2 linked regions of the Anolis sagrei genome follow. The protein of the gene in region 1 purifies or fractionates together with the protein of each later gene. This does not show direct contact. Links are inferred from orthologs where the notes say so. Each region holds a gene or a part of one and is shown in the gene's direction. Other genes may lie near its edges.

The links.
Region 2: the proteins of SLC9A6 (region 1) and MBLAC2 purify together in Homo sapiens (co-immunoprecipitation; 3 studies listed by BioGRID and IntAct, counting the BioPlex papers as one, with this or other methods). This does not show direct contact. The link is inferred for Anolis sagrei from reciprocal best matches to the Homo sapiens genes SLC9A6 and MBLAC2.

The regions. Positions count from the first base shown.
Region 1 is NC_090030.1:24,586,434-24,602,701, forward strand, and holds the start of SLC9A6 (sodium/hydrogen exchanger 6), read left to right. Parts: upstream 1-9,311; 5' UTR 9,312-9,373; coding exon 9,374-9,674; intron 9,675-16,268. Other genes in the region: MMGT1 (ER membrane protein complex subunit 5), read right to left, coding at 2,105-2,157, 3,584-3,707. UniProt on the Homo sapiens protein: Endosomal Na(+), K(+)/H(+) antiporter. Mediates the electroneutral exchange of endosomal luminal H(+) for a cytosolic Na(+) or K(+).
Region 2 is NC_090022.1:256,252,406-256,268,820, forward strand, and holds the start of MBLAC2 (acyl-coenzyme A thioesterase MBLAC2), read left to right. Parts: upstream 1-8,933; 5' UTR 8,934-8,996; coding exon 8,997-9,486; intron 9,487-16,415. UniProt on the Homo sapiens protein: Acyl-CoA thioesterases are a group of enzymes that catalyze the hydrolysis of acyl-CoAs to the free fatty acid and coenzyme A (CoASH), providing the potential to regulate intracellular levels of acyl-CoAs, free fatty acids and CoASH.

The DNA.
Region 1 (16,268 bases):
CACAGGCATCCAAATGTTTGAAATATTTATTTATTTACCCTATTTTACATCCTGCCTTTCTCTACCCCGAAGGGGACTCAAGTTGGCTTTACATATAGGCAACTATCAAATGCCTTTGGACAACATACAGGTAAAATACATTTATGTTAAATTTAATGCACATTAAAACATAGAAAAACACAGCATTCACTATTAAAATCATGTTATCCACAATCATAATCTGGGGCCATTCCAACAATCACCTATTCCATAGCTGTTATTGCACTCTAGTTAATCTCCAAGAGTGCAATAACAGCTACGGAATATGTGCAATGCACTATAGTATTTCAATGAGAAATGTGGGCCTGCTTTTGGCTGATGAGATAGGATTGTTGTTGTTGTGTGCTTTCAAGTCATTTCCTCCTGAGAAAAATGTATAATATCACAAAGGACTACCACCTCACCCGCCTCATAGGAAACCTGCTACAAAACAGGAGCTTTTTTGTTGAGTTCCAAAGCCAGAGAAGCAGATGGCGGAAACAGAAGAATGGCCTGCCTCAGGGGAACGTGCTTGCTCCATCCATGTTCAACATCTACACAAATGACCAGCCACTGCCAGAAGGGACAGAGAGCTTCATCTATGCTGATGATCATGCCATTACTGCTCAAGCAGGGGGCTTTGAGATGGTAGAACAGAAGCTCTCAGAAGCTCTAGGTGCTCTTACTGCCTATTACAGGGGAAACCAGCTGATCCTTAACCCATCTAAAACACAGATATGTGCTTTTCATCTCAAGAACAGACAAGCATCCTGAGCTCTGAGGATCATGTGGGAAGGAATCCACAGGAGCATTGCAGCACACCCAAATACCTGGGAGTCACCCTGGACCGTGCTCTTACCTACAAGAAGCACTGCCTGAATATCAAGCAAAAAAGTGGGTGCTAGAAACAATATCATACGAAAGCTAACTGGCATAACCTGGGGATCACAACCAGACACAGTGAAGACATCTGCCCTCTGCTGCCGAATATGCATGCCTAGTGTGGAACACATCTCACCACGCTAAAACAGTGGATGTAGCTCTTAATGAGACATGCCGCATTATCACGGGGTGTCTGCGCCCTACACCACTGGAGAAACTACACTGTTTAGCCGGTATTGCACCACCTGACATCCACCGGGAAGTAGCAATAGTGAAAGGACCAAGGCAGTGACATCTCCAGCTCATCCCTTGTTTGGGTATCAGCCAGCACGTCAACGACTTAAATCAAGAAATAGTTTTCTAAGATCTACAGAGACACTCGCTGGAACACCCCAGCAAGCAAGAGTCCAAAAATGGCAGGCTCAAACCCAGAACCTCAATCAATGGCTGATACCAAATGAGAGACTCCCCTCTGGGCACTCAGAAGACTGGGCGACTTGGAAGGCGCTGAACAGACTGCGCTCTGGCACCATGAGATGCAGAGCCAACCTCAAGAAATGGGGCTACAAAATGGAATCCTCGGCATGTGAGTGTGGAGAAGAGCAAACCACTGACCACCTGCTGCAATGCAACCTGAGCCCCGCCACATGCACAATGGAGGACCTCCTTGCAGCAACACCAGAGGCACTCCAAGTGGCCAACTACTCGTCAAAGGACATTTAATCAACTACCAAGCTTGCAAACTTTGTGTTTTGTCTGTTTGTTAAAAATGTAATACAATTGTCTGGTTGATACTGACACGATAAATAAATAAATAAATAAATTTCAGACATAAGTTGACCCTGAGCGAGGGCCGGGTAAATGACCTTGGAGGGCCGTATCTGGCCCCCGGGCCTTAGTTTGAGGACCCCTGTATTATAGTCTCAAGAACAGCGCGAGGCACATCTATCTCATTAAGACTGGGAGTTTGTACATTCGAGTAAAGAAAGAATGAGGAGGTGCTGCACTTCAGATTCCATTTGTGGAAGCACAATAAAGCACAACAAAAAGTTACGCATTCAGACATATTGGCACAACCCAACACAACGGGCTCCAGTCAAATTAATCCTTGGGTTCTATTAGTTCAATGATTCCAGTGCATTCAAACCACTTTATACACAAATATGTCATCCTACGGATCACAGGCAAACTTCCTAAAACTTACATCTATTGGCAAGGTTTCATCTTCCTTTTCCGTTAGTCTCATATAGGAACGATCTGCAAAAGAAAGTTAATGGGGAATGAATTGGAGAGGAATATCACTATGTAACACATTATTTGTTCCTGGGTTATAAATGTCATATCCTAATTGGTACTATCATAAAAAATATATGGATATGAGTTGGAGAAGTCAACCTATATCTATATAAATAAAAATGTAATGTTCATTTGTGGGACTAACGGAACTCAAAAACCACTGGGGGAATACACCTAACAACCCAATGTATGTCCTTCACTCACAAAAAATGAGTTTGTCGTTTGGGAGTTGTAGTTGCTGGGGTTTATAGTTCACCTATAATCAAAGAGCATTCTGAACTCCACCAATGATGGAGTTGAACCAAAACTTGGCACATAGGACTCCCATGACCAACAGAAAACACTAGAAGGGTTTGGTGGGCACTGACCTTGAGTTTGGGAATTGTAGTTCACCTACATCTAGAGAGCACTGTGGACCCAAACAATGATGGATCTGGACCAAACTTGGCACAAGCACTCAATACACCCAAATGTGAACACAGATGGCATTTGGGGGAAATAGACCTTGCCATTTGGGAATTGTAGTCACTGGGATTCACAGTTCACATACAATCAAAGAGCATTCTGAACCCCACGAATGACAGAAATGGGGCAAACTTCCCACACAGAACCCCCATGACCAACAGAAAATACTTAAGGCCATCCAATCCAACTCCATCAGGGCAAGAAAACATAATTAAAGCCCTCCTGACAAAGAGTCATCCAGTCATAAAGATAGATAGATAGATATGATTCACACACACTCACAGATATAGTATCATAGATTTGAAAGGGAACCCTAAAGGACAATGATATGTTGCATATTCCAGGGTGGGCAAACCAGACAATCTCCATATCAACACTGACAAAGTAACAGCAAGAAATACTGTTTACCCACAAGCATCAAGACATTACATATATTAGAAACCAACACTTTCTCATTACTTTATATTCCAGATCACCAGACTGGGCCACAGCAAAGCGTGGCAGGGGGCGGCTAGTATTCATATAAATATAAACATTGTTCATATAAATAGAAGTATTATGCTTACATAAAATTGAATTTATATTGGATTGTTCCTATTCTGAATGCCAGTACTATTCATCACGAAGATGGCAGGCCTTAATTCACAAATTATCACCTAAAGTGGCCCCGAAAGAGGCATTCCTAGCCTATATCCCAAGTGGAACTGCTTTGCTTCAATGCTAATGTTAGTCTGAGAGTTGTAGTTCTTCCTGCCTCGTCAAAGCGGCCTGCAAAAGCAATAAGGCCAAGAAAGCCCCGAAAAGTCCCTTCTCGGCACCCGTAGCCAAGGAAGTGAAGGCCTGAAGCCTGCCTAGATTTTTCTGTCAAGTGGCTGAGGGAGAAAGCGGCGAATAGAGGGGAAGGGGTTGGCCCGGGACTCACGCTGGGCGGCGGAGAAGGCCGCGTGTGCCAAGGCGAAGAGCCCGACCCCGACGAGCCCTTTCCACAGCGAGGCCGCCGCCATCGTCCGCCCTCCCTCCAGCAGCCAAGGATCCCGACCGCGCATGCGCACGCGGAGGCAAAGGGAAAGGGGGAAATGCGTGCTGACGCAAAAGGGGGCGGAGCCTCTTCTCGCCTTCGCTCGGCCCGCTGAGACGATACGACGCCAAGGCGCCTGCGCGGAAGCTGGGAAAAGAGGGAGGAGCTTAACAGGTAACAGACAGGAATGGGCGTGGCTTCTCTTAAAGGAGACAGAACCTGACATCACTTTGTTTACTTGCTCACTCCTGTTTTGAAAGCCAGATACCATTATGTTGATTTTTCAAAGCGTTAGCTTATTGATATGTTAATAGATTTATTGATTTGTAATATTTGTTAATAGATTTGTTGATTTGTAATATTACACTAATATTAATATTGTAATATTACAATAATATTATTAATATTGTAATATTTCTAACAATATTATTAATATTATTAGTAAATTACAATATTAATATTATTAATATTGGAGCCCCCGGTGGCGCAGTAGGTTAAATCCCTGTGCCAGCAGGACTGAAGACCAACAGGTCACAGGTTCGAATCCGGGGAGAGGCGGATGAGCTCCCTCTATCAGCTCCAGCTCCTCATGCGGGGACATGAGAGAAGCCTCCAACAAGGGTGATAAAACATCAAAATCATCCGGGCGTCCCCTGGGCAACGTCCCTGCAGACGGCCAATTCTCTCACAACAGGATGCTCCTGACACGACAAAAAATATTATTATTATTATTATTATTATTATTACTAATATTATTAATATTGTAATATTACTAATAATATTATTAATATTATTAATAATATTGTAATATTACTAATAATATTGCATTCTAATGGTATTGTACAATATAATATATAATCCTAATATTGTACTATGCTAATAATATAATATATAATAGAAACATATAATATTAATAATATTATAATATAATAGAATATAATAATACAATATACTAATAATAATAGTAATAATAATAATAATAAACTTTATTTATACTCCGCAACCATCTCCCGAGGGACTTGGTGCGGCTTACATGAGGCTGAGACCACACTGCATCAATGATAAAAGCAATAACAACAATTAATACAGACAATAAAACAAAAACTCATAACAAAAAAAAAACAATAAACAATAGCAGTAACACAACGATGTTAAAAACCTATGGCAGAGCCAAATGTAATAATTAAAATTTAAGAATAATATTATTAATTAATTATTAATATTAATGTATAAATATAAAATGTTAGAAAATGTTAGAATTAAGCTAGGAAAAATATGGCACCAAAATGGAGTTGGTCGGTTAACTCGCGGATATGGTGGCCCGAGTGGTTTCCGTATCCGCGGTTTAAAGAAACGCAGATTCAGCCTCCCTGCGATGCCTGGAAGGCATCCCAGGCGGGCCCGCCGCTGCCCACGGCCCAAAAAAGGATAAGTTCATGCATTTGATACTTGTGAGTCAGGAAATAGACACAGTGTATCACTTTGGAGAGGTGAACGTTACAATTCAATTAGTCTTTATTAGGGGTTTTGTTACAATGTTTGGGCTGGGGAGAAAAGCAAAAGGAGAAAGCTCAAGGTTGCAGAGAATCCTTGGTTGAGGCTGCTGCTGGGGCACATTTCATCAGAGCTGGCATCCAGGAACTGCGGAACTCCCTGCAGCTGGTCAGATCAGCTGGAAAGCAGGGGTTTGGGGCGGATTCGACATCAAAGCTACCCACAATTATAAACATGGAATGTAGACAGTGTTTCCAAGGCAGGGGATGATTGATCATCATGTTAATTGAAAACAAGTATAAGAATTGAAACTCATAATAAAAATGGGGAAATACTGAAAAATGGGTGTTGGATCGATTTTACTAAAGCGCTGCAATGGAGATAAATTGCAAAATGTAGCCTTGATCAAGTCGGGTGCCTTTTACCAATGGAAAGAAGACAGAACTGACAACAACAACAATAATACATCACACAGTCCTAGACACTTGGGAAGTGTTCGACTTGTGATTTAGTGATACGAAATCCAGCATATATATCTAATTTGCTGTGCCATACTATGTTTTTCTGTCAGTAATAATAATAATAATAATAATTCTACACTGTAGAAAGAATGTCGTTTGACACCTCTTTAACTGCCTTTATGGAAACCTGGGATCTGTAGTTTGGTGAAGGACCAAAGTGAAAGATCTTGTAAAACTGCAGCTCTCCAGCTTTCTTAGCATTGATGGCTAAAGTGGTGTCAAACTGCATAAATTCCACAGTTCAGATGCACCCAGATAATTGCTTTGAAGGCATTTGTCCTCTTGGCAAAAAACAAACTAACTAAACAAAAAAAAAAACCCCAAAAACCCATGCATTTCTTCCTTTCTTCTGAAGGAGGAAAATATTACTCTGTGGTGGAAAAACAAGCCCTGCATTGTGCCATAATCTATGCCTTGTCACACTCCTCTCATTCTAAACAAAGCTACCTACCATTTCTTGCAGTGGGTTTCGAACTGCTTTCTGTGCAGAGGGTTCAATGGCAAACCAAAGGAATGTTACTGAAACTTAGATTAACATCTATAAATCAAATTAAGAGCAAACCTTACTTTCAAAGCAACAGTGGCAGAATGTTGTTGAAGGCTTTCACGGCTGCAATGACTGGGTTGCTGTGAGTTTTCCGGGCTGTATGGCCATGTTCCAGAATCATTAGAATCATAGAGTGCGAAGAGACCTCATGGGCCATCCAGTTCAACCCCATTCGGCCAAGAAGCAGGAAAATCGTATTCAAAACACACCCTACAGATGGCCATCCAGCCTCTGTTTAAAAGTCTCAAAAGTAGGAGCCTCTACCACACTCTGGGGCAGAGAGTTCCACTGCTGAACAGCTCTCACAGTTAGGAAGTTCTTCCTAATGTTCAGATGGAATCTCTTTTATTGCAGTTTGAAGCCATTGTTCCGCATCCTAGTCTCCACGGAAGCAGAAAACAAGCTTGCTCCCCCATCCCTATGACTTCCTCTCACATACTTATACATAGCTATCAGGTCTCCTGACATTTCACCCACATCTATGGCAGGCATCCTCAGAGGATATGAGGTCAGTTGGAAACTAGGCAAGTGAGGTTTATATACCTGGGGAATGTCCATGTTGGGAGAAAGAACTCTTGTCTGTTTGAGGCCAGTGCAAATGTTGCAATTTGCCAACTCGGTTAGCATTGTATAGCCTTGCAGCTTCAAAGCCTAGTGGCTTCCTGCCTGGGGGAACCAGGACAGTAAATAAAGAGCAACATTAAAAAAGCAGGGAATTCCAGACAGGAAACAATCAGGGCCAGCTAACACCTTCTAACAAAGGGTTCCCCCAAGCAGCAATCAGTCAGGCTTTGATGCTGCAAGGCCATTCAATCAAGGTGGCAATTCAATGCTAATCAAGGTATGCAACATTCACACCTGCCTCCAACAGACAAGAGTTCTTTCTCCCACCCTGGATATTCATACACACACACACACACACATCCCACTTGCCTAATTTCCAACAGATCTCTCAATCTCTGAGGATGCCTGCCATAGATGTGGGAGAAATGTATGTCAGGAGAGAATGCTTCTGGAACATGGCCAGATAGCCCGGAAAACTCTCAACGACCCAGTAGCAGAGAGAGCAAGTGACTTCCAAATAGTCCAATAGTCCTGACAGCTTTTACCAGAAGCAGAAAATCCCTTAAAGAGCCCCATTTCGGGAAATAAACTCAATTGATATTCGATGTATTTTGGGTCTGGAGACTGCAAAGGCCTTTGCAATGAATAGGGTTTAATTCAAAGGTTTCAAGCTGCAGTCTTAAGGGTCAAAATAGGCTCATGCAAATCCTTAGCTGCTGGGTAAATTGCACTGTTTAGTCTGTTTCAGGAAAACTCTACAAAATCCAGCCTCATAAAACCAAGATCGTAACATGAACTTTGGAATATGTCTCCAGGCCAACAGCACTGCTTCTTCTCTCTGTGTGTGTTTTAGTAAACATCTACCCTTCAAAGCCTTAATAACAATAACAATAAACAACCCGGAATCCAAAATGCATCTGTTCCCAAACATTCTGGACAAGTGCTATTCGGTGTACCTATGTAAAAGGTTTCAAAACATGTAAACACCCAACACAATCCCAAACACTTTGGGTGCCAAGCATTTCGAAAATGGGGTGCTTGTTCCGTATATGCAAGTATTGTAAAACATTTAAACATCCAGAGGAATCCCAAACACTTCTGGTGCCAAGCATTTTGATCAAGCTGTTCTTGTTTTGGAATGTAAGTCCCCAAACTGGTGCTTTTCCTGCATGAAGTCAGAATGGGGCTAGACTGGGTGGCCTTTGAGGGTCCCTCCCATCTCTAGGATCCTATAGCCCTATTATTTCTCTCCATCTAATTAAATGTCTATGAGGCTGGATGGCCATCTGTCAGGGGTGCGTCGATTGTGTTTTTCCTTCATGAAGGCAGAAGGGATGGTACTTGGGGTACTCTTTCAACTCTAGCATCCTATAGCCCTATTATTTCTCTCCATCTCGGATTCTCTAGCCCTGTTACTTCTCTCCATCTAATCTAATGTCTATGATGCTGGGTGGTCATTTGTCGGGGTGCTATGACGGAGTTTTCCCTGCATGGATGCGGGGGGGGGGGGGGGGTTTGAACTGGATGGCCTTTGTGGTCCATTTTAAGTCTAGGATCCCATAGGACTATTATTTCTCTCCGTCTAGGATTCTCTAGACCTGTCATCATTCCCCATCTAATCTTATATTTGTGATGCTGGCTGGCCACCTGTCGGGGATGCTTTGATGGTGCTTTCCCTACATGGAGGCAGAAGGGGGTTGGGCTGGATGGCCTTTGGGAGTCCCCTTTAACCCTAGGATCCTGTGGCCTTATTATTTCTCTCCATCTAATCTAATGCCTGTGAGGCTGGATGGCCATCTGTTGGGTGGGCTTGGATGGTGCTTGGCAGAAGGGGGTTGGGCTGGGTGGCCTTTGGGGGTCCCCTTTAACTCTAGCATCCTGTGGCCTTATTATTTCTCTCCATCTCATCTAATGCCTGCGAGGCTGGATGGCCACCTGTCAGGGGTGCTTTGATGGTGCTTTCCCTGCATGGAGGCAGAAGGGGGTTGGACTGGATGGCCTTTGGGGTCCCCTTTAACTCTAGGATCCTGTGGCCTTATTACTTCTCTCCATCTAATCTAATGCCTGTGAGGCTGGATGGCCACCTGTCAGGGGTGCTTTGATGGTGCTTTCCCTGCATAGAGGCAGAAGGGGGTTGGGCTGGATGGCCTTTGGGGGTCCCCTTTAACTCTAGCATCCTGTGGCCTTATTATTTCTCTCCATCTCATCTAATGCCTGTGAGGCTGGATGGCCATCTGTTGGGAGGGCTTGGATGGTGCTTGGCAGAAGGGGGTTGGGCTGGATGGCCTTTGGGGGTCCCCTTTAACTCTAGCATCCTGTGGCCTTATTATTTCTCTCCATCTCATCTAACGCCTGTGAGGCTGGATGGCCATCTGTTGGGTGGGCTTGGATGGTGCTTGGCAGAAGGGGGTTGGGCTGGATGGCCTTTGGGGGTCCCTTCCAACCCTGGGAGAGCTTGCTTCCCTTCTCCCCAGCCTCGAGGAGGAGGAGGAAGTGGAGGAAGAGGAGGAGCCAGGAGGAGGAGGAGGCGCAGCAGCCATCGCTGTATCCAGAGCCCGAGCCCTAGCCATGGCCTTGCTTTGGGGCCAGGGTCCTGCCGCCCCCCGGAGGGCTCCCCCTTTGGCGACGGGGCTGCCCCTGCTGGAGCTGCTGCTGCTCTTGGGGGTCTGCGGGGGGTCCGGCTCGGGCCCGCCGGTGGCCCTGGAGGAGGAGATCGTGTCGGAGAAGGCGGCCGAGGCCAGCCACCGGCAGGACAGCGCCAACCTGCTCATCTTCATCCTCCTCCTCACCCTCACCATCCTCACCATCTGGCTCTTCAAGCACCGACGCGCACGCTTCCTCCACGAGACGGGCCTCGCCATGATCTACGGTGGGTCCAAAGGGGCGTGGGGGTATCTGTATCTCTGTGGGGAAGGCTCCAGTCGGGGAGGGACCCCTCCAGACCCAGAAGGACCCTCCCACCACCTTGCAGAGGCCTTCTCCAAAACCTCAACAAGGGGTTGGGAGTCTAATACTAATACTAATAATACTTGGTCCAGATCTGTCATCAGCTCGATTCAGTGTTCTCTGGATAAGGGTGAACTACAACTCCTATCACCTTGCAGAGGCCTTCTCCAAAAGCTCTGGGCACCAACAAGGGGTTGGGAGTCTTATACTACTACTACTACTACTACTACTAATACTTGGTGCAGATCTATTATCAGCTGGGTTCAGTGTTCTCTGGATACTGGTAAGCTAGTCTCCCATCACCTTGCAGAGGCCTTCTCCAAAAGCTCTGGGCACCAACAACAGGTTGGGAGTCTAATACTAATACTAATACCACTAATAATAAGATCTGTCATCAGCTGGGTTGAGTGTTCTCTGGATAAGGGTGAACTACCCTCCCATCACCTTGCAGAGGCCTTCTCCAAAAGCTCTGGGCACCCACAAGGGGTTGGGAGTCTTATACTAATACTAATACTAAGAATACTTGGTCCAGATCTCTTATCAGCTGGATTCAGTGTTCTCTGGATAAGGGTGAACTACCCTCCCATCGCCTTCTCCAAAAGCTCTGGGCATCAACAAGGGGTTGGGAGTCTTATACTAATACGAATACTACTTGGTCCAGATCTGTTATCAGCTGGGTTCAGTGTTCTCTGGACAAGGGTGAACTACAACTCCCATCACCTTGCAGAGGCCTTCTCCAAAAGCTTTGGGCACCAACAAGGGTTTGGGAGTCTAATACTAATACTAATACTACTAATAATAATACTTGGTCCAGATCTGTTATCAGCTTGGTTGAGTGTTCTCTGGACAAGGGTGAACTACAACTCCCAGATTACTACAACTTCCTTCCTGTTGAATCAGTCCCCCCAACCCCCCCCCCCCAGTCTGAGTCCTCCCTAGGGGTTGGGAGTCTTATACTACTACTACTACTACTAATAATAATAATAATACTTGGTCCAGATTTGTTATCAGCTGGGTTCAGTGTTCTCTGGATAAGGGTGAACTACCCTCCCATCACCTTGCAGAGGCCTTCTCCAAAAGCTCTGGGCACCAACAACAGGTTGGGAGTCTAATACTAATACTACTAATAATAAGATCTGTCATCAGCTGGGTTGAGTGTTCTCTGGATAAGGGTGAACTACTAATACTACTTGGTCCAGATCTGTTATCAGCTCGGTTGAGTGTTCTCTGCATAAGGGTGAACTATCCTCCCATCACCTTGCAGAGGCCTTCTCCAAAAGCTCTGGGCACCAACAAAGGGTTGGGAGTCTTATACTACTACTACTATTACTACTACTACTACTAATAATAATACTTTGTCCAGATCTGTTATCAGCTGGGTTCAGTGTTCTCTGGATAAGGGTGAGCTTTGGTTACATCCCGTTTAGATTACTGCTACGCTCTCTACGTGGGGTTGCCTTTGAAGACTGCCTGGAAGCTCCAATTAGTCCAATGTGTGGCAGCCAGTTTGCTAACAAGAGTGGGGTACAGGGAGCATACTACTCCTCTGTTGCGCCAGCTCCACTGGCTGCCAGTTAGCTTCCGAGCACTATTCAAAGTGCTGGTGTTAACCTATAAAGCCCTAAACGAATCTGGCCCAGTTTACCTGTCCGAACGTATTCTCCCCTATGAACCATCAAAATTGCTAAGACGTCTGGAGGGGCCCACCGGCCTCACAATCGCGTCTGGTGGGGACGAGGGACAGGGCCTTCTCGGTGGTGGCCCCTCAACTCTGGAACTCCCTTTCACTGGAGATCGGAATGGCCCCCTCTATCTTGAAGTTCAGAAAACCCCATGATAAGGTTAATGTGATGGGTAATATCTTTGATGATTTTGTAAACAAAGCTTGTTTACATTGAAGCATAAGGTTGCTATAGGATTCCAAACCGTTGTGTGCCATTTATTAATCACCTTTGGGGACATCTTTGCTCAGCAGTGTCTTGATGGTTTACTCCTTTCATCTTCAGGGAGCAATGCTACAAAACGGAGAAGAGGAAGGAAGGAAGGAATAGAATAGAACAGAATAAGGATGCCTTTACCAGCCATTATCTGGTACCCACAGCATATTTGGTATAGTGGTGTTCAGAAATAGATAATAATAATAATAATAATAATAATAATAATAATTATTATTATTATTATTATTTATAGCCCGCTACCATCTCCCCAAGGGACTCGGTGCGGCTTACATGAGGCCGAGCCCACAACACATCAATAATAAAACAATAGCAAACAAACAGTACAAAACAGTTAAAATACATCTCATAAACAAAAGTAAAATAAAATATAAGCAGTACAGCAACACAACAAGCATTTAAAACCTATGGCTGGGCCAAATGTAAAATTCAAATTTAAAAAATAATGCTGGGCATGAGCAAGGTAGGATATAGCTGCGCCCGTACCTTGGGAAGTCTGACTTGGCCACAGTAGTCCACGCTCTGGTTACATCCCGTTTAGACTACTGCAACGCTCTCTACGTGGGGTTGCCTTTGAAGACGGCTCGGAAGCTCCAACTAGTCCAGCGCTCGGCAGCCATGATTTTAACAGGAGTGGAGCGCAGGGAGCATACAACCCCCCTGTTGCGCCAACTCCACTGGCTACCGATCTGCTACTGGGCTGAATTCAAAGTGCTGGTGTTGGCCTTTAAAGCCCTAAACGGTTCCAGCCCAAGCTACCAATCCGACCGCATCTCTGCCTATGAACCCACCAGGACTTTGAGATCGTCCGGGGAGACCCTGCTCTCGATCCCGCCTGCTTCTCAAGCACGGCTGGCGGGGACAAGAGATAGGGCCTTTTCGGTGGTGGCTCCTCGGCTGTGGAACGCCCTTCCTACGGACATTAGACTAGCACCATCTCTAATGGTATTCCGCAAAAAAGTGAAGAGCAGGCGTTCAAATAATTAGTGCAATGATTGGTTAATGAACACTGGAATGGAACAATGGATGACGAATCTGGGTCATGTTTTTGATGATGAGTCGATAATGAATGGTTATTGTAGTAATTGTTTATTAATTGTGTAATGTGTTAGGTTGTTAACTGTTTTTATACTGTTGCTTTGAATTTTTGCTGTTTCTATTGTTGTGAACCGCTGTGAGTCGCCTTCGGGCTGAGAACAGCGGTATATAAGTAAGGTAAATAATAATAATAATAATAATAATAATAATAATAATAATAATAATAACTGGGATGGATATTTTCGCAGGGGACAAGGCATGCAAATCAATCAATCCTAAATGAATAATAAAGTGCATTTTGAGGGTATATTGCTGAGAAATCCATTATTCTGGAAAGGCACGTTTTCAGGCTCCTCCTAAAAATTGCCAGAGTTGGGGCATCCCCGATGTCCTTGGGAAATGAGTTCCAGAGTCGAGGGGCCACCACCGAAAAAGCCCTCTCCCTCGTCCCCACCAATCATGCCTGCGATGGAGGTGGGAGCGTGAGCAAGGCCTCTCCAGATGATCGAAGAGATCATGTGGGTTCATACACAGAGATGTGATCACGTAGGTAGGCAGGTCCCAAACCGTTCAGGGCTTTGAAGGTAAGAACCTGCACCTTGAATTGATCTAACACCTTTGGATGTTAAATATGTTTCCTGGGTGAAGAAGACAGTGAAACTCTGAAAGCCAAAAAGTGGAAAACAATGGAAGTACCTTCCATCTATAAAGGGATTGGCAACTAAAATAGAAGAGTAATAATAATAATAATAATTATTATTATTATTATTATTTATCATGTCATCAGCAACCATACCATTGTATAACAGAGCAAAAAAACCCACACAGATTAAAAAGAAAAAGAAAAAAAAACACACACACAGATTTTGCAAACTTGGTAGTTGGTTAAATGTCCTTTGACCAGTATCTGGCCACTTGGAGTGCCTCTGGGGTTGCCACAAGAAGGTCCTCCATTGTGCATGTGGCGGGGCTCAGGGTGCATTGCAACAGGTGGTCAGTGGTTTGTTCTTCTCCGCACTCGCATGCCGAGGATTCCACCCTGTAGCCCCATTTCTTAAGATTCGCTCTGCATCTCGTGGTGCCAGAGCGCAGTCTGTTCAGCGCCTTCCAAGTCGCCCAGTCTTCTGTGTGCCCAGGAGGGAGTCTCTCATCTGGTATCACCCATGGATTGAGGTGCTGGGTTTGGGCCTGCCACTTTTGGACTCTCGCTTGCTGGGGTGTTCCAGCGAGTGTCTCTGTAGATCGAAGAAAACTATGTCTTGATTTAAGTCGTTGACGTGCTGGCTGATACCCAAACAGGGGATGAGCTGGAGATGTCTCTGCCTTGGTCCTTTCACTATTGGCTGCTACTTCCCGGCGGATGTCAGGTGGTGCAATACCGGCTAAGCAGTGTAATTTCTCCAGTGGTGTGGGGCGCAGACACCCTGTGATAATGTGGCATGTCTTATTAAGCACCACATCTACTATTTTAGTGTGGTGAGATGTGTTCCACACTGGGCATGCATACTCAGCAGCAGAGTAGCCTAGCGCAAGGGCAAATGTCTTCACTGTGTCTGGTTGTGATCCCCAGGTTGTGCCAGTCAGCTTTCGTATGATGTTGTTTCTAGCGCCCACTTTTTGCTTGATGTTCAGGCAGTGCTTCTTGTAGGTCAGAGAACGGTCCAAAGTGACTCCCAGGTATTTGGGTGTGTTGCAATGCTCCAGTGGGATCCCTTCCCAGGTGATAATCCTCAGAGCTCGGGATGCTTGTCTGTTCTTAAGGTGAAAGGCGCATGTCTGTGTTTTAGATGGATTAGGGATCAGTTGGTTTTCCCTGTAATAGGCAGTAAGAGCATAATTCTATCATTAAAACATGGGGAAAGTTTATGAAACTGCAAAAACTTTGATCTTGCAGAAGGGACATCCTGCAGCACATTTTGTGATAGTTTTTCAATGAATATCATCATTGAGTCTCAACCCATTCTGTATTGTTACGTATCGGTTCCCCTCCTGCGTCTTTAGTAAATAGGAAATTCACAGGAATGCCTCTCCTTCCTCTCCAGTTTCCTGAGTAGGTACTCGCTTCTTCTTGAAGAAAGCATTGCAAGAATAGAATTGAGAAATCTGAGAAAGCCGGTTGCTCAATTGGAAGGAGGCTAAAAGCAGCACGAAATGGAGATTTCCATTGAAACTGGGTCTCAAGACATCTTAGAGCAGTGTTTCTCAACTTGGGGGTCGGGACCGCTGAGGGGATCGTGAGGGGGTGTCAGAGGGGTCGCCAAAGACCATAAGAAAACACAGTATTTTCTGATAGTCATGGGGATTTCATGTAGGAAGTTTGAGCCAATTCTATCGTTGGTGGAGTTCAGAATGTTCTTTGATTGTAATGAACTATAAATCCCAGCAACTCCCAAATGTCAAGATCTATTTTCCCCAGACTCCACCAATGTTCACATTTGGGCACATTGAGTATTCATGCCAATTTTGGTACAGATCCACTGTTGCATGAGTCCACAGTGCTCTCTGGATATAGGTGAACTACAACTCCTAAACTCAAGGTCAATTCCCATCAAACCCTTCCAGTGTTTTCCATTGGTCATGGGAGCCAAGTTTGGTTCAAATCCATCGCTGGTGGAGTTCAGAATGCTCTTTGATTATAAGTGAACTATAAATCCCAGCAACTACAACTCCCAAATTACAAAATCAATCCTTGCCCAACCCCACTAGCGTTCACATTTGGGTGTATTGGGTATTTGTGCCCAGTTTGGTCCAGTGAATGAAAATTCATCCTGCATATCAGATATTTACATTATGATTTATAACAGTAGTAAGATGACTGTTATGATGTAGCAATGAAAACAATTTTATGGTTGGGGGTCAACACAACATGAGGATCTGTATTAAGGGGTCGCGGCATTAGGAAGGTTGAGAACCATTGTCTTAGAGTTCCAACCGACTGGAAACTTCAAGGCACACAACAACAACAACAACAATTTTCTTTTGATCCATGAAAATTGTCCATCCAGCCGAAAATGTAATCCACAAAGTGCTGTGTCTGTGGTGCCATGACAAATGTCTTAATCTACATCAGTGTTTCTCAACCTTCCGAATACCACGACCCCTCAATACAGTTCCTCATGTTGTGGTGATCACCAACCACAAGATTGTTTCCATTGCTACTTCATAACTGTAATTTTGCTACCGTTAGTAATCGTCATGTAAATATCTGATATGCAGGATGTATTTTCATTCACTGGACGAAATTTGGCACAAATACCCGATATGCCCAAATTTGAGGCTGAGGAGGGATTGATTTTGTCATTTGGGAGTTGTAGTTGCTGGGATTTATAGTTCAGCTACAATCAGTAAGTCCTTCGACAGGGTCCCCCATATTTATTTATTATGTCAGGAGCAACCAGACATTTGTATTACATTTTTAACAAAACAAACAAACAAACAGACAAAACACAAAGTTTGCAAGCTTGGTAGTTGATTAAATGTCCTTTGACCAGATGCTGTCCACTTGGAGTGCCTCTGGGGTTGCC
Region 2 (16,415 bases), on another chromosome or scaffold:
CATGAGGTCACAAATAGTTGGAAATGACTGAACGAATGAACAACAACAACATCCATCTAATCATATTTTACTTTCTTATCAAATTGTATTGATTTAAATGCAATTTACTTGTGAACAAAGTTGTACTAGAACTATAGCAATAGAGCATTATAAATTACCAAAAAGACCTTTAGCTTCCAGCATCTCAGTTCTGAATACCGTCTATGAAATACTGAAAATACAGAACAGATGGTTTTAAAAGCAAAGTTTCCGTTGATTAATATTTCCTTTGATTTAAAAGTATGGAAAACCAGACACTTCTGGATTTGCTTGTTTGTTTTGTTAAAAGACCAGCCACCCCGGACTTAAAACATATAATCAGGAAACTGATGAAATTGTACCCCAAAGATCTTAGTGAGCAAGTGGAGGCATTTCCAGTAAATGTAATACAAAAGCAACTTCTTAAAAGGGCAGAGGCGTGAAAGAAGTACAGTCTTCTCAGATTTTGGAGGTTATGTGCACTTCCCAGGTGTCAGGGCATTGCTGAGCTTTGCTCCAGACAGGTCTGATAGATAAGAAAAACAATACCTCTACATGATATTCTTCATCTTATTCCTCTGGCTCTTCCCTTTCTTCATAATCATCTTTGTTCTTTTCTTTGTGCTTTTCCTCCTCATCCGATTTTTCTTCATCTCCTTTTTTCCAACTCCTGTTAAAGATTAACAACAAGTCTGCCACATCCTTTGAACTTCCAGTTGAAAGCAGGAGTTGGAGGAGTGGGAGAGTCAGCACTTCAAATGTCATAAACAATTGAAGTTATTAAAATAATGGTTGGAGAATGTCTTCTATCACTAGTGAAGGACTCCTGCCTTTTGAGATCAATGTGTATCTTTCTTTCTAGCCTTCGTTTTTTTTAACTGTAAAAGCTGATAACATTTCTTCAGGGCTTAAGGAAACCATAACTTCCCATTTGGGGGGGGGGGGGGTCTGTGGACCACAGGTTAAGAACTGCTGCCATAATGTATCTGTGAAAAGGTTGTTTTGCATCATAGAACTTTTAAAACAAATTGAAAGTAAAAATCCCTCAAAGCCCTAATGCAGAGACAAGATATCATTACAAATAATCCTCAATATGGAGGTACATTAACCAGGAAACCAAAAGAGTTCTGTACTCTGAGAACTCATTTTTAAGGCCACTCTAGAAAAGCCCTATATTGTTTTGCACTCATGTCTCTTATAAAATAAAATCATTCCACACAGCCCTCAAGTCATTCTCTAATTTTACTCCAAAATGTTTTATAATTATTAATCTTTCCACCTATTTTCACCATTAAGTCATATTGTCAATATGACATATAGAACCCACCATACCTCTATCTTATTCAGTACATCTGCATTATCTTTTGGTTCTGTTTTTGGAATTTGGGGCTTTTTGCTTGTTACAGTAAAAAAAAAAAAAAAAAACCCTAACCCTGCATTGTTCCAGATTCATATAAACAGGACCATAAAAATGGCACTGCTTCATATTTAGTAAAGCAGGGAGACTTGAAAACAATATAAATTAAATTATTATGTGGAAACCACTAAGCAACAATACAGAAAATCTGTATCTGCTTTTATTGCACTATATTCCTTTGAGTACATCTGTATCACAAAAACAAGATGGTTGTATGAATGTGTATTTAATGGGATGGAGGGCTTTTAAAGAGGCTATGAGCATACTGCATTATTTAACTGATTGCTTCCCTAAGGTCACTACCATCAGTTACTTCAGAACTACAGATGAACCATTTCCAAAAGCAAGGTTTTGAAATGCTAATATTTAAAAGAAATCTTGCTAAGGCAAGAAAACTTCATTTTTTCCCCTTTTCCCTCTACCACTCAACATTCAGTCATCACTTTCACAGAAAAACTAAAATAAAAGTTATATTGGGCAATATTACTCAAAATAACAGTTATCAGTCCCACTTTTCTCCCAAAAACAAATATTATGAACCCTAAGAGATAAGGTTTCGGCTGCTTCATGTGCATGTTACATTTTTCCCTCTTGCTTTCAAGCCGTCTTGGGGATTTTCTCCAATCTTTGCAAAATGAAATTTTTAATTATTTTTGATAGCAGTCTATCTTATGTAGAGGAACCAAACATATTTTGATCAGTGCATTCATTAACACTGATTTTTCACACTATCTCAGTATAGTCCAATATCTGAAGGATTTCATTTTACCTACCCCTGGGCTTGTTCTTGACTGTACAAATCTCTAGAACCTGGCCACATTTATGTGCCTCTTTGCTGTAATAAAACTATTACACACATGGATCTTGGAGCTTAGTTTTATACTGCAGTGTACCTTTTAAAAAAACTTTCATGTTTCTTCTATTTCATTTTCTGAAAGTCTTCACAGCATACATATCCTGTCATGACAGGGGAACAGGGGACTAAAGGACAAAAAATGCTATGACATATTTAATTAACATCAAAGGATAGAAGGAAAGAACTTGGTTTCACTTTGTGCTAGAAGCCTAGCTTTGTATTTGATTATCCAAAGCAGTATGAATTAAGTTAACACATAGAACTGTTCTAATATCATGTAAACCAAGCTGCAATGTTGGACACATTTACATGGGAACAAGTTGTATTCAACACACTTGGCTTTAATTTTTTTTAAAAAACCTATACAGGTTGGGTATTCCTTATCCAGAATTCCAAAATACTCCACAATCCAAAATTATCCCCATGGGTGGGTGAGATAATGATACTTTTGCTCTTTAATGTTGCAATGTACATAAACTTCCATACACAAAATTATTTAAAATATTTGTATAAAATCACCTGCAGGTATGTGGATATGAAATATGAATGAATGTCATATTTAGACTTGGGTCCCATCTCCAAAAGTTCTCATTATTCTAAAATCTGGGGGGAAAAGGAACACTTCTAGTCCCAAACATTTCACGTAAGAGCTACTCAACTTGTATAAGATTGCATGCCTGGGTGTGCCAGGAGCTTAAATTGTGAGCCCAACATTTGCCTTGCATGCACCTGAAAATGCACCAGCTCCTACTGTACCAAACTATAATTACTTTATGCGCTAGAGCACACTACCATTACAGAAGATTTTGACTACTCTGCAGAAATTTGTTCCATTCTAGTGTTAAACGTAACAATAGACAATAGACTGTCAGTGTATACCAGATGCTGTAGGCTACTTTTCAGAGGAAGTATTAGCAAAACCACCTCTTAAGTATTTCTTGCCTGAGGAATTCATGAGGTTGCCATAAAGTAACAAGTGATTTAAAAGTGCATACAAAAACAGATGGAACCAAAGCTTAGAAAGTTATTGCTTGAAAGTATGAGTTACAGTTATAAGTACAAGACCTGAAAAATAATGTCTTATTATCATAGTTCCATAGTTCCAAAATAATTGAAATAACTGTTCTCAATTCCTTTTTAAAAGCACCAGAAAGATACAGGATACTAGTTTGTAGTAAAACACACCCAAGCAATTGGCCATGCCCCATAGGACTGTAAAGGTAACAAAGCAGTTACACTGTAAAAAGAATAAAGGTACTGTATTTGCTGTTAGAAAATATATTTGTATTATACTAAAAAGAAAGGTGCAGACCTGAAGCTCTTGACTGAAAAGTGGAGCAGTGGCAATGGCCTGTACCTGCTTTGCAGTTGCTTTACATATTGCTGTTTCTGGGTTTTAGCTCTTTTTCATTTGCTCTGTAGTGGTACAAACAGTAGCCTATGTTTCAGAGGAAGGCAATACCAAAATGTCTTGCCTGTGAAAGGGCCTATGCAATGTGTGGTGTTGCTATAAGTTGGCACATATCTTAACGACAAAAACATATATACACCCTTAACTTTCCCACTATTTCCAGTTGACAAAAAAGTGGAGTGCTTCATCCTAATGGAGGTACTTACTTTAGACACTGCTTCAGGTAATGTTTCACATCTAGCAAAACCAGTCGCTTCCTTGACTCAACTCAGCCATTTTGGATAACTAGAGGAAAAACAGCTTTCATTCAATCTCTCTTCAACTACTCTGTCAGATTACACTGAGAAGCCATTGAAATCCACAAGCACATGGACAATTTCAACTGATAGGAAGAAAACATGAAAATGAACACTTGGCTACCAGTATTGAGAAACACCAGAATCAAGAGAGCAACTAATGAACACCACCCAGACACAGGAGATCTCCAGGCAGCAAGCAATCAAGGGCTAGTGAGCTACCATCCAGACAAAGGATGCCTCTAGGCAATAAACACTTCAAGGGAACAAAGTCCTGATTATTTCTAGGCAGATCTCCTCAGTTACTCACATGCTAATGGATGGATCCCACTCAAAGCACTTCCAAATCAAGCTTGCTAATTGCACCCTTCACACAATAGGCATTGGTTCTTTTTCTCACCCTGGACATTCCACGGGTATATATACACTTGCTTCACCACCATCAGATCCTCTGAAGATGCCAGCCACAGATGCAGGTGAAATGTCATGAAGAAATGCTGTTAGAACACAGCCATACAGCCCAGAAACAATACAGCACCCCAGCAGTTCTGGCCATTAAAACCTTTGACACTAAATGACATATTCAATTTTTGCAGTATTTCAGATCCTACAAAACATACCCCTGGTTGTAAATTCTGAACGATACTAGTTAGGATAAGTGGGCCACTCAATCACTGCATTCACACCACATCTTAAGTGGCTCAATCCAGGTCTAGGCTGCTCTCTTTGTTTAGCAATTTTTAGAATTGGAGTTTTCAGTAGTTTCTGTTGCAACATTGAGGATGGGGATATACTATTTAGCACACTACTGTATGATTTATTAGCAAAGGATTAAAAGGATCAAAGAAACAATTACATTATTACATTTTGTTCAGTATTTATATTATGCCTTGACATTCACAATGCTCAACAAAGTAATTCCAAAAGGCTCAAACCCTGATCCTGATTGACATTCTTTGAGTTATTTTAAATCCTGCTTGAACTTATTTGGAACTGACAAGTTCCTGACATAAAATATTTGGAGGATTGACACACAGACCTATGGATTTGCATTCAGAAGCCCCACTGCACTCTATAAAGGCATGCTCTCTAGGAAACACTGGGAGCATTTGCAGAAAATGGCATTAAGGGATTGTTACTGAGCTTTATAACATTTGGATGATGGCATCCATGCATTCCCTTGAACAGCTATGTGAAGCCATATAAAGTTATATGAAGCCAGGCCCGTAGCCAGGATTTTGATTCGGGGGAAGCTGAGTTTGATTTGGGGGCGGGGGGAGGCTGAGTCTGAGTGAAAGAGGGTCTACCCTAGCAAACCTTTTGTATCATTACCCCAATACCCCCATGCATATGGGATATATTGAGCATGGTGATCAGATCATGATATGAATAAACATAACAGTTTAAATAATTTACCAGTAAGGCCTTCTCACGGACCACCATGAGAATTTCGGGGGGGGGGGGGGGCTGAAGCCCCTCAAGCTCCCCCCCCCCCCCCCCCCGGCTACATGCCTGTATGAAGCAAAATAATCTGAGGAACTGGAAAACTGATTCCACCTAAGCATTAGGAAGACCTTCATGGTAAATAACTACTGGGGATACATTTATGACCAGATTGCAGCTACGTGAAACTACAGAGATGACTGAACACTATTACATTACTGTGGAGTTGTGCTGGAGGACCTATCTCCTCTAGGAATTTGCTAGGTCTTCCAACACAACTCTATGGAAGCATTTGTTGCTAAAAATCAGGAAAAAAAACTTGGAGGCAAACAACAACAAGTAGTCAATTACAAGCAAGCTGTTTTACTATTTGAAGCTGTGCAGTAAAACCTAGTATACCCCAGAGGAATTGTGTATATTTTTATTCCTGTGCATCAAGTCTGGCAGGTGGTGGGACGCAACTGACATACATCTATGTGAATATGTTTTTATTGATTTTATCATGGGTTTATAATATTTTAATTGTTTTTTTATTGTATTCTTATGCTTTGATGTTGACTCTAAACCACCCTGAGTCGCCTGCGGGCTGAAAAGGATGGTATATAAATGTAGTAAAATAAATAAATAAATCTTTAGACTGTTCTGTCAAGGCATAACATTCCCAGAGTTGAAGCTCCCACATGCATATACATATTCCAAGAATATACAGGGTTGCCCAAAAGTCACAAAGTTGTTTCAATATTTAAGAAAACATGTTTTTAACTAACAATACTATATAGCATCATACAAAGTATATATAAGAAATAAATGTACATTATGCGCGAAAAACAAATTTCGTAAATAGTCTCTCATACCATAGGATCATACACAGTCTTAAGGGCCCTTCCAGACAGTACCTATATCCCAGGATCTAATTCCAGATTTTCCGCTTTAAACTGGATTATATGAGTCCGCACTGCCAGATAATTTGGGATCAACAGAAAACTTGGGATCAGATCCTGGGATATTGGCCCTCTTTGTGACTTTTTTCCTAACGGGAAGGTGGGGCATAAATAGAGTAAATAATAGAAAAGTATGGAAGAGCATCTCTGCACCAGCTAACGTGTCTCTGCACCTAACATGTGTCTTCGGATCTTCCCCAAAGTCCCATTCTCTTTGCCTTCCTTATCAAAATTATGTAACAACTGTGTTATATAATTATGGAGGCAGCATTATTGATGTCTAATGTACGATTTTTCAGTGGCAGAGTAAAATGGCTCTTTCAGTCAGCATTTGCAAAATAAATTTTTTATTGGCTCCCTGTTGTTTTGGCTGCGGGGTGTTAGCCTTACTTATTGTATAGCATTAGGTTTTAAGTAATGAATTATTTATCCAGTACACCATCCTAATACTTCACATGAAGGGTAGCATACTCTCTCTCTCTCTATGAAACACTTATTTTCAATTATATATAAATATAAGGAGGTTTGCTTTCAGGACCCCCATGGATACCAAATCTACAGCTGCTCAAGTTTCCCCTTGAGATTAAGTGTAGTCGTGTCTGACTCTGGAGGGTGGTACTCATCTTCATTTCTAAGCCAAAGAGCCCGTGTTGTCCGTAGACACCTCTAAGGTCATGTAGCTGGCATGACTGCATGGAGCACTGTTACCTTCCCACAGAAGCGGTATCTATTTATCTATTCACACTTGCATGTTTTTGAATTGCTAGATTGGCAGAAGCTGGGGTTAATAGCGGGAGCTCACCCTGCTTCCCAGATTTGAATTGCCTATCTTTCGGTCAGCAAGTTCATCAGCTTAGCAGTTAAACCAGCAATATGTCCCCAAACGCACTTTATTAGTGATCTAGGTTTGTCTGCACATCTCATCTCTCTCCAAAACATTTACCCTAGTTATATGTCACCTTGTCATGCCCAGCATTATTTTAAAAAATTAATTATTACATTTGGCCCAGCCATAGGTTTTAAAATGCGTTGTGTTATTGTTAATCTTTATTGCATATTTTCTGCTTATGAGTTTATTTATTGTTTTGTATTACTGTTGCTATTGTTTATTGTTGTATTGTGGGTTCGGCCTCATGTAAGCTGCACCGAGTCCCTTGGGGAAATGGTAGCGGGGTACAAATAAAGTTTTATTATTATTATTATTAAACCCGCTGCACCACCACATGTCTTGCATATTTTTGTTGTTCATTCGTTCAGTCATCTCCGACTCTTCGTGACCTCATGGACCAGCCCACGCCAGAGCTCCCTGTCGGCCGTCACCACCCCCAGCTCCTTCAAGGTCAGTCCAGTCACTTCAAGGATGCCATCCATCCATCCATCTTGCCCTTGGTTGGCCCCTCTTCCTTTTGCCTTCCACTTTCCCCAGCATCATTGTCTTCTCTAGGCTTTCCTGTCTCCTCATGATGTGGCCAAAGTACTTCCACTTTGTCTCGAGTATCCTTCCCTCCAGTGAGCAGCCTGGCTTTATTTCCTGGAGGATGGACTGGTTGGATCCAAGGCACTCTCAGAACTTTCCAACACCACAGCTTAAAAGCATCTATATTCTTCCGTTCAGCCTTCCTTATGGTCCAGCTCTCACATCCGTAGGTGACTACAGGGAATACCATGGCTTGGACTAGGCGGATCTTTGTTGCCAGTGTGATGTCTCTACTCTTCACTATTTTATCGAGACTGGACATTGCTCTCCTCCCAAGAAGTAAGCGTCTTCTGATTTCCTGGCCACAGTCTGCATCTGCAGTAATCTTTGCACCTAGAAATACAAAGTCTGTCACAGTCTCCACATTTTCTCCCTCTATTTCCCAGTTGTCAATCATTCTTGTTGCCATAATCTTGGTTTGTTTGATGTTTAGCTGCAACCCAGCTTTTGCGCTTTCTTCTTTCACCTTGATTAGAAGGCTCCTCAGCTTGCATATTTACATGCAGCCTAATAGCCTGTTAGGAATTGTGGGAGATGGAAGTCCAAAACACCCGGAGGGCCGAAGTTTGCCCATGCCTGAGCTACACTGCCCAATTAGAAACAGGTTAATACCACTTTAACTGCCATCGCTCAGTGCTATGGAATACTGAGAGCCTTCGTTTGGTGAGGCCTGAAGGTCTGGAGGCTTCCCTGCCAAAGAGTGCTGGTGCCTCCCAGGGTTGCACAGCATTGAGCCAAAGCAGTTAAATTACCGGCTGTTAGGAATTGTGGGAGTTGAAGTCCAAAACACCCGGAGGGCCGACGTTTGCCCATGCCTGCAGCTGCAGCAGTAATTTACACAGTCTGGAGCCTTCCCTGCCAAAGAGTGCTGTTTCCAGGATACACTGTTTCCAGGATTCCAGAGCATACAGCCAGGGGAAGTTAAAGCGGTATGAACATGCATTAATACTCCAGTGTAGCGCCCTCCCCTCTCTCGCAGCCGGGCTACCGCAGTGGGCAGGGCCGGGGGCGGAGACGGGTGTCTCGGGAGCGCGCCTGGCAGCATCCCCGCCCCCTTCTCGACTCCTCCTCCTCCTCCTCCTTCCCTCGCTTCCCGTAGCCGGGCTTTGGGAGCTTGTCTGGGCGGCGGCGGCGGCGATGTCGGCGCTGGAGTGGTTCGCGCACAAATCCCTGGGCGGCGGCATCTTCTGGATCCAGGAGCGCTTCTACGAGTCCGGGAACCGGGCTAACATCTGGCTGGTGCGAGGCTCGCAGCGGGACGTGGTCATCGACACCGGGCTGGGGCTGCGGAGCCTGCCGGATTACCTCCGCTTGGCGGGGCTCTTGGGGCCCGGAGCCCCCGAGGAGAAGGGGGCGGAATCCGCGCCGCCGGCGGGAGAACCCCTTGCGGGACAGCGCCCCCTGCTGGCCGTGGCCACGCACGTGCACTTCGACCACGCGGGCGGGCTGCACCAGTTCCCGGAGGTGGCCGTGCACAGCGCCGAGGCCCCGGCCCTCCGCCGCGGGGACAACTACGAGGCCGTGACCTGGCTCTCCGACGGCGAGGTGGTGCGGCAGCCCAGCCCCGGGTGGAGCGCCAGGCACTTCCGGGTCCGCCCCGTCCAGCCCACCCACGTCCTGCAGGAAGGTGAATCCGCCCCCCTTCCCTCCTCCCCGAGCTTCTCCCCCAGACCCTTCCCTGGACCCTCCTCCCTCTGTTAGCAATCAGCAGAGCATTTGGCATGCCTAGAGCGAGTGTTGTCTAAACTAGAGGTGTTTCCCAAACTGTAGAGCAGGCTGTTAGGAATTGGCCGCCCTGAGCCCTCTTGTGGGGAGAAGGGCGGGATAGAAATGTATGTAATAATAATTATTACATGTAATAATAATAATAATAATAATAATGTAATAATAATAATAATAATGTAATAATAATAATAATACACCGGAGCCCCCGGTGGCGCAGTGGGTTAAAGCACTGAGCTGCTTAGCTTGTTGATCGAAAGGTCGCAGGTTCGATTCCGGAGAGCGGCGTGAGCTTCCGCTGTCAGCCCTAGCTTCTGCCAACCTAGCAGTTCGAAAACATGCAAATGTGAGTAGATCAATAGGTACCGCTCCGGCGGGAAGGTAACAGTGCTCCATGCAGTCATGCCGGCCACATGACCTTGGAGGTGTCTACGGACAACGCGGGCTCTTCGGCTTAGAAATGGAGATGAGCACCACACCCTAGAGTCAGACATGACTGGACTTAATGTCAGGGGACTACCTTTACCTAATAATAATAATAATAATAATAATAATAATAATTGTTATTGTGGAAGTTGAAGTCCAAAATACCTGGAGGGCCCAAGTTTGTCCATGCCTTCTCTATAGTCTTCCAGGTCAGAAGCAAATTGAGAAGACAGTAATCTTCTGTATAAATAAATATGTAATGTTCGGTTTGTGGGATTAATATGTAATAGTATGAAAGCTGGATCCAGAAGCGCTGAACATAACGCTGTTTGCGCAACGCAGACCAGAACACAGATATTATAGAAGGAATGTAAGAGGTTTTTTTAAATGGTAAAACCCTTATTTATTTATTTATTTATTTGGTAGTTTTGTATACCGGTCTTCTCACCTCCATTCAAGGGACTCGGGCCGGTTTCCAACATCAATATTACAGACCGTCATTAAAACATCATATTTCTAAATCACACTAAAACATTAAAACATTGAAACAATTAAAATGGCAAAAAATACAATCATATGATTACAGTGGTCAGTCATCATCAAAGTCATTATTCATCGTCATCCATCCATATCAAAGGATCATGGCTCATTCGTTGAATGCCAATCCCCAAAGCCAGGTTTTCACGTTTCCTGAACATTAAGATCGAACGGGCAGTTCTGATCTCCAGTGGAAGGGAGTTCCAGAGTTCCTTACCTGAACCCTTAACCCTAACCCTGACCCAAACCCTAAACCTGACTACTAAACCTAATCCTAACCCTTACCCTACCCCTAACATTAAACCTTATCCTAACCCTCCCCTCCTTTCTATCTTTCCATCAAATGCAACTACAGAGTATATATTCCCGCCCTCAGTGTGCTGCTCTCTTCTTCCCTGATTCACAACCGCCGTTGCAGAATGTGCATAACGCTCAGAGCTTCTGGACCCAGCTATCATACTAGCATTGATTAACATAACTCAAAAACCACTTGACGAACTGACACCAAATTTGGACATAATACATATATCAGGCCAAGGAGTGATCATCACTCATAAAAACACTGAAAAACACAGTGGAAGAGACTTAAAAAGTAAAAAAAAAATTACAATGCATGCACAAAATCACTAATAATAGTAATAATAAATTTTATTTATACCCCGCCACTATCTCCCCAAAGGGGACTCGGAGCGGCTTACATGAGGCCAAGCCAAGCGATACATTGCAGCAACATAAAATATAAACAATAAAATAGCATCACAATAAAATAAACCAATCAAGTAAAATAAACAGTACAAAATAACATAATGGAAAACAAAACATAGTGGGTGGGCCAAATGCACAGCATAAAATGATAAAACTCTGGATGAGATAGCAATGAAAAGGTACATTTGTGGGGGAGGAGCTTGTAGGAGACTGAATTAGACTTTCAAAAAGGTGGGGGAAAGTGCAATATGAGGTAAACTGTGTAGGTGAAACAACAGGACTGGAATATATGGTGATTCTCCAAAGGTACATCAGAAATATATATACACACACATACACAACACATATACACAGACTGGGCCACAGCAACGTGTGGCAGGGGACAACTAGTCTATATAAATAAAAATGTAATGTTTGTGGGATTAACATAACTCAAAAACCACTGGATGAATTGACACCAAATTTGGACACAATACACCTATCAGGTCAGCAAGTGACCATCACTCATAAAAACACTGAAAAACACAGCGGAAGAGACTTAAAAAGCCAAAAAACAAAAAATACATAACAACACATGCACAAAACCACATATATACGCACACATATATACACAAATATACACACACACATATACACATACACAGACTGGGCCACAGCAACATGTGGCAGGGGACGGTTAGTAATGTATAAAAAACCACAAAGTTAAAAATTTGGCATATATTTCCTTTGACAAAGTGCTGCTGGTGTTGCTGTAAGGGCTCAGACCACATGGTAGTAAGTGGTCTGTGGTTTGCTCTTCTCAGCACTTGCATGTCATGGACTCCACTTTGAAGCCCTGTTTCTTGAGATTGGCGCCACATCTCGTGATAACAGAGCGCAGTCTGTTCAACGCCTTCCAAGTCACCTAAGAGTGCTCAGAAGGGAGTTTCTTTATCTGGTATCAGCCACGGATCGAGGTTCCGGGTTTTAACCGGGAGAAATTATACTATTTAGTTGGTATTGCATTACATGACATCCGCTGGGAAGTAGCAGCCAATAATGAAAGGACCAAGGCATTGATATCTCCGGCCCATCCTCTCTTCAGATATCAGACAACGCCTTAAATCAATAAACAGTTTTCTAAGATCTACGGAGATACTCGCAGGAAAGCTTCATCAAGCAAAAGTGGCAGGTTAAGTGTCCAAAAGTGGCAGGATCAACAACCCATGGCTAATAAGAGTCCAAAAGTGGCAGGATCAACATCCCATGGCTAATACTGAATGAGAGACTCCCTCCTGGGCACACAGAAGACTGAACAACTTGGAAGACGCTGAACAGACTGCACTTTGGCACCACGAGATGCAAAGCCAACCTTAAGAAATGGGACCACAAAGTGGAGTCCACGACATGCGAGTGTGGAGAACAGCAAACCACAGACCATCTCTTACAGTGCAGTCTGAGCCCTGCCACATGCACAATGGAGGATCTTCTTATAGCAACACCAGACAGAAGCACTCCAAGTGGCCAGCTTTTGGTCATAGGACATTTAGTATAATGCCAAGTTTTTAAAACTTTGTGCTTTTTAAATACATTGCAGCTGTATCCTCGGTTCTCTTCTGATACGTTAAAAAAAAGCCTGCCATTTTTGGACTGTCGCTCGCTTGCTGAGGTGTTCCTGTGACTATAAACGCAGATCTTAGGAAGCTGTTTCTTGATTTAAGTCATTGGATGATATCTGAACAGAAGATGCCTTGGTCTTTTCATTGCTGGCTGCTACTTCCAGGCGGCTATCAGGTCGTGCAATACCAATTAAACCCTCCAGATGTTTTGGATTTCAGCCGGTAAGCTGTTAGGAATTGTGGGAGTTGAAGTCCAAAACACCTGGAGTTCCGAAGTTTGCCCTTGCCCGGGCTAAACAGTATAATTTCTCCAACAGTGTTGGGCGTAGATATCCTGTGATAATGCGGCATCGAGCCATAGCAATTAAAGTGGTGTAAAACTGTGTTCATTCTATTATTATTATTATTATTATTATTATTAACTTTATTTGTACCCCGCTAGCATCTCCCGGAGGACTCGATGCGGCTTACACAGGCCGAAGCCTCAAAACACAGTACAGTAAAACGTAACATCACAATAACAGCAAATCAAAACAATAAACAAAATAACATAACTCCACAATAACTAAGCAAATCAGATAATAAGCAAAATAACGACAATGACAGTACATCAAGACCTTATTAAAATTGGTTCGGCCGGCGCACTGGGGTACAAGGGTTAAAAGTGCTGAAATGGCAGGAGGCACGTAAGATTAAAAGTGCGGTGTGCAGCGACAATTAGTTATGCTAAAGTGCTACTAGGACTTGGGGTGGGGTTCCTAGTCTGGGAAGGCACAATGGAACAGCCAAGTTTTTAAATTCCTTCTGAAAACGGCCAGAGTGGGGGCCTGTCTGAGATCCTTTGGGAGGGCGTTCCAGAGTCGGGGGGCCGCCACAGAAAAGGCCCTGTCCCGTGTCCCCACCAAACGCACTTGTGACGTGGGTGGGATCACGAGCAGGGCCTCTCCTCTCCTCTATAGTGTAGATACATCTGTAGATAACTGGGACAGACATGCAGGCTGAAAAAATGAGGCTCACTTCAGAGGATTTAAATCCAGTGGAATTCTGGGCAGAGTAGTTCAGTGAAGTACTTTGTACTTTTCGTTGCTATAGATCTCTTGTGTCGCAGTTCAGGGAACTGCACTAGAGCCCTCTCAGAGAATCCCAGGTACATCAGCACTGAAATTAATGCAGTTTGACATCACTTTAACTACCATGGCTCATGCTGTAGGATCATGGAGATTGTAGTTTCCTCTGTCTAAGAGTGCCGGTGCCTCACCAAACTTCAACTCTAGTGATTTTAAAGCTGGTTTAATTCTCCAGTGTAGATGCGACTTAAGTTCAGTACTAGATGTGATTTGTGGACTTCAGCTCCCAGAATCTCTGATCTTTAGCCAAAGCAGCTGTGGCTTCTGGGAGTTGAAGTCTACAAAATCTGGAAAACTGCACTTTGGGAATCACTGTTGTAGAGCATGTTCCAGCAACGATTCATGGTGTGGAAGGGAAAGGGTGCAACCTCAGCTCATTACAAAACTTTCCCATAATTGCATTAAAAGGAATATGTGAAGTAGATATGTCTATGTAAGATGATTAACTTGCTCAGAGACAGGCATTTTACACTTATCAGTATATTTCACCAATACTACTATTTAGAAGAGTTAATCTGGTTTATTTATTTTGTATCAAAAGCATTGCATGAATTAGTATAAAACTGATAAAAATAGAAGGAGCACAAGCAGCAATATATCTTTTGTCCAAAAACGGGCAACAGCCACCGCATTGTCTATAGTTTCAATCAATTCTTCCTCTGTACATGAGGCAGGACATTGCGGACAAACATACAGATGCAGAGTTGTCTGTTCTGCTCCACAGTCACACAAGGTAGAGGATTCTTTTAGGTAATTCCTTTTTGGCAGGTTGTCTTTTGATCTGCCCACTCCACTTCTCAGTCTGTTCAGGGACTTCCAAGTTAGTTAATCATATACATTACAGTAATGTTTTGAGTCACGTGTAGAGGAAAACAACAACAATAATAGTACCTGCTTCATATATAGGTGGCACTGATGGGATCATGTGTGAGCCCCTACACTTTATGGATTTATAAATCCAAAGCCTTTATGTTGGAGTGGAGAGGGGGGGGGGTGTTGCTCTAAGATAGAAGAGCAGCAGGAATCAAAAGGGGAGTTTGAATGCGCTATCCATCTCTGAGATACATTTGTGGGGATGCATACAACATTCAATAGGGTCATACTGTGCAAGGGTCATACTGTACAATAATGCCCAACATTTCTTAGTGATATAGGACCCCTGATGGTGTGGTGGGTTAAACCATTGAGCTGCTGAACTTGCTGACTGAAAGGTTGGCTATTCGAATCTGGGGACAGGGGTGAGCTCCCACTGTTAGCCCCAGCTTCTGCCAACCCAGTAATTCGAAAACATGCAAATATGAGTAGATCAATAGGTACCACTTCTGCAGGAAGGCAATGGTTCTCCATGCAGTCATGCTGGCCACATAACCTAAGCTCTTGGGCTTAGAAATTGAGATGAGCACCATCACCCAGAGTCGGATATGACTAGACTTAATATCAAGGGAAACCTTTACTCTGCATATGACCCTTGTGTCGATGGTGCATAGGTTCCAAGATTTCTTGTGGATACTTAAAACTTTAGATGATAGCAAACCCTATATTTTGACTATACATGGACTGAGAGCATACAATAGAGTAGCATTGGATGACCCAGAAACACTTCCTGGAGGATGGGAATTTTTGGAGAGTAGATAAGTGAAACCGTGGATATTAAATCTGTGGATAATGGAGTGCATATTGTGCATTTCTACATGACAGCTCTTTTATGGGAAGAAGGGCAATGAATAGTAAACAATTCATTAAAAAAGAGGATCAATTCTGTTTTGCCAGGAGGTATTATTGCATAATGTGTTTTGAAAAAACAGAACAAACCCTCAATGACAAATGCAAGTGTGGCCACTGAATACTATATATAGCAATTGTCATGTATTGAGATTATATCATACTGGGATTTGGCATGTTGTTTTGAAGCAAAAGGGCTAGCCTAAGGCGCATTTACTCTCAGTTGATATGTACTGATTTTAATATTGGATTATTTATATTATTCTTTTGAAACAAATTGTTGGTAGAGAAAATACATACAAAAAGATAATTACCATCCAGAAACAATGTTCACTAGTAATATTTTGATATTTAAAGCAAAAGAAAGGAATAGAGCTTTTGGTTGAAAATATTTTTCCCCTGCAGAGTTAGCAGAGCTGAAATTTTTGTAGTACGAGTTGAAATTCAAAAGCACCAGCTAAGCACCTCCCAATTTCAGACAGATTTTGTCCTCTAGATTCTAAGCATATGACGTTTTATTCATAGTGATACCTGCTTTCCTCCTTGAAGTAAACAGTATACTATTTAAAAGGCTGACATGTTTTAAAGAGACAGCTACTAAATTAAAATAGGGCCTAGTTAAACCATCTTAAGGTATGTTAACATGCTTCAGCCCAAGCAGTACACAAAACAAGATGTGCATCTCCTCCAAGAACATCTGAACATGTTCTTCCTGGTAA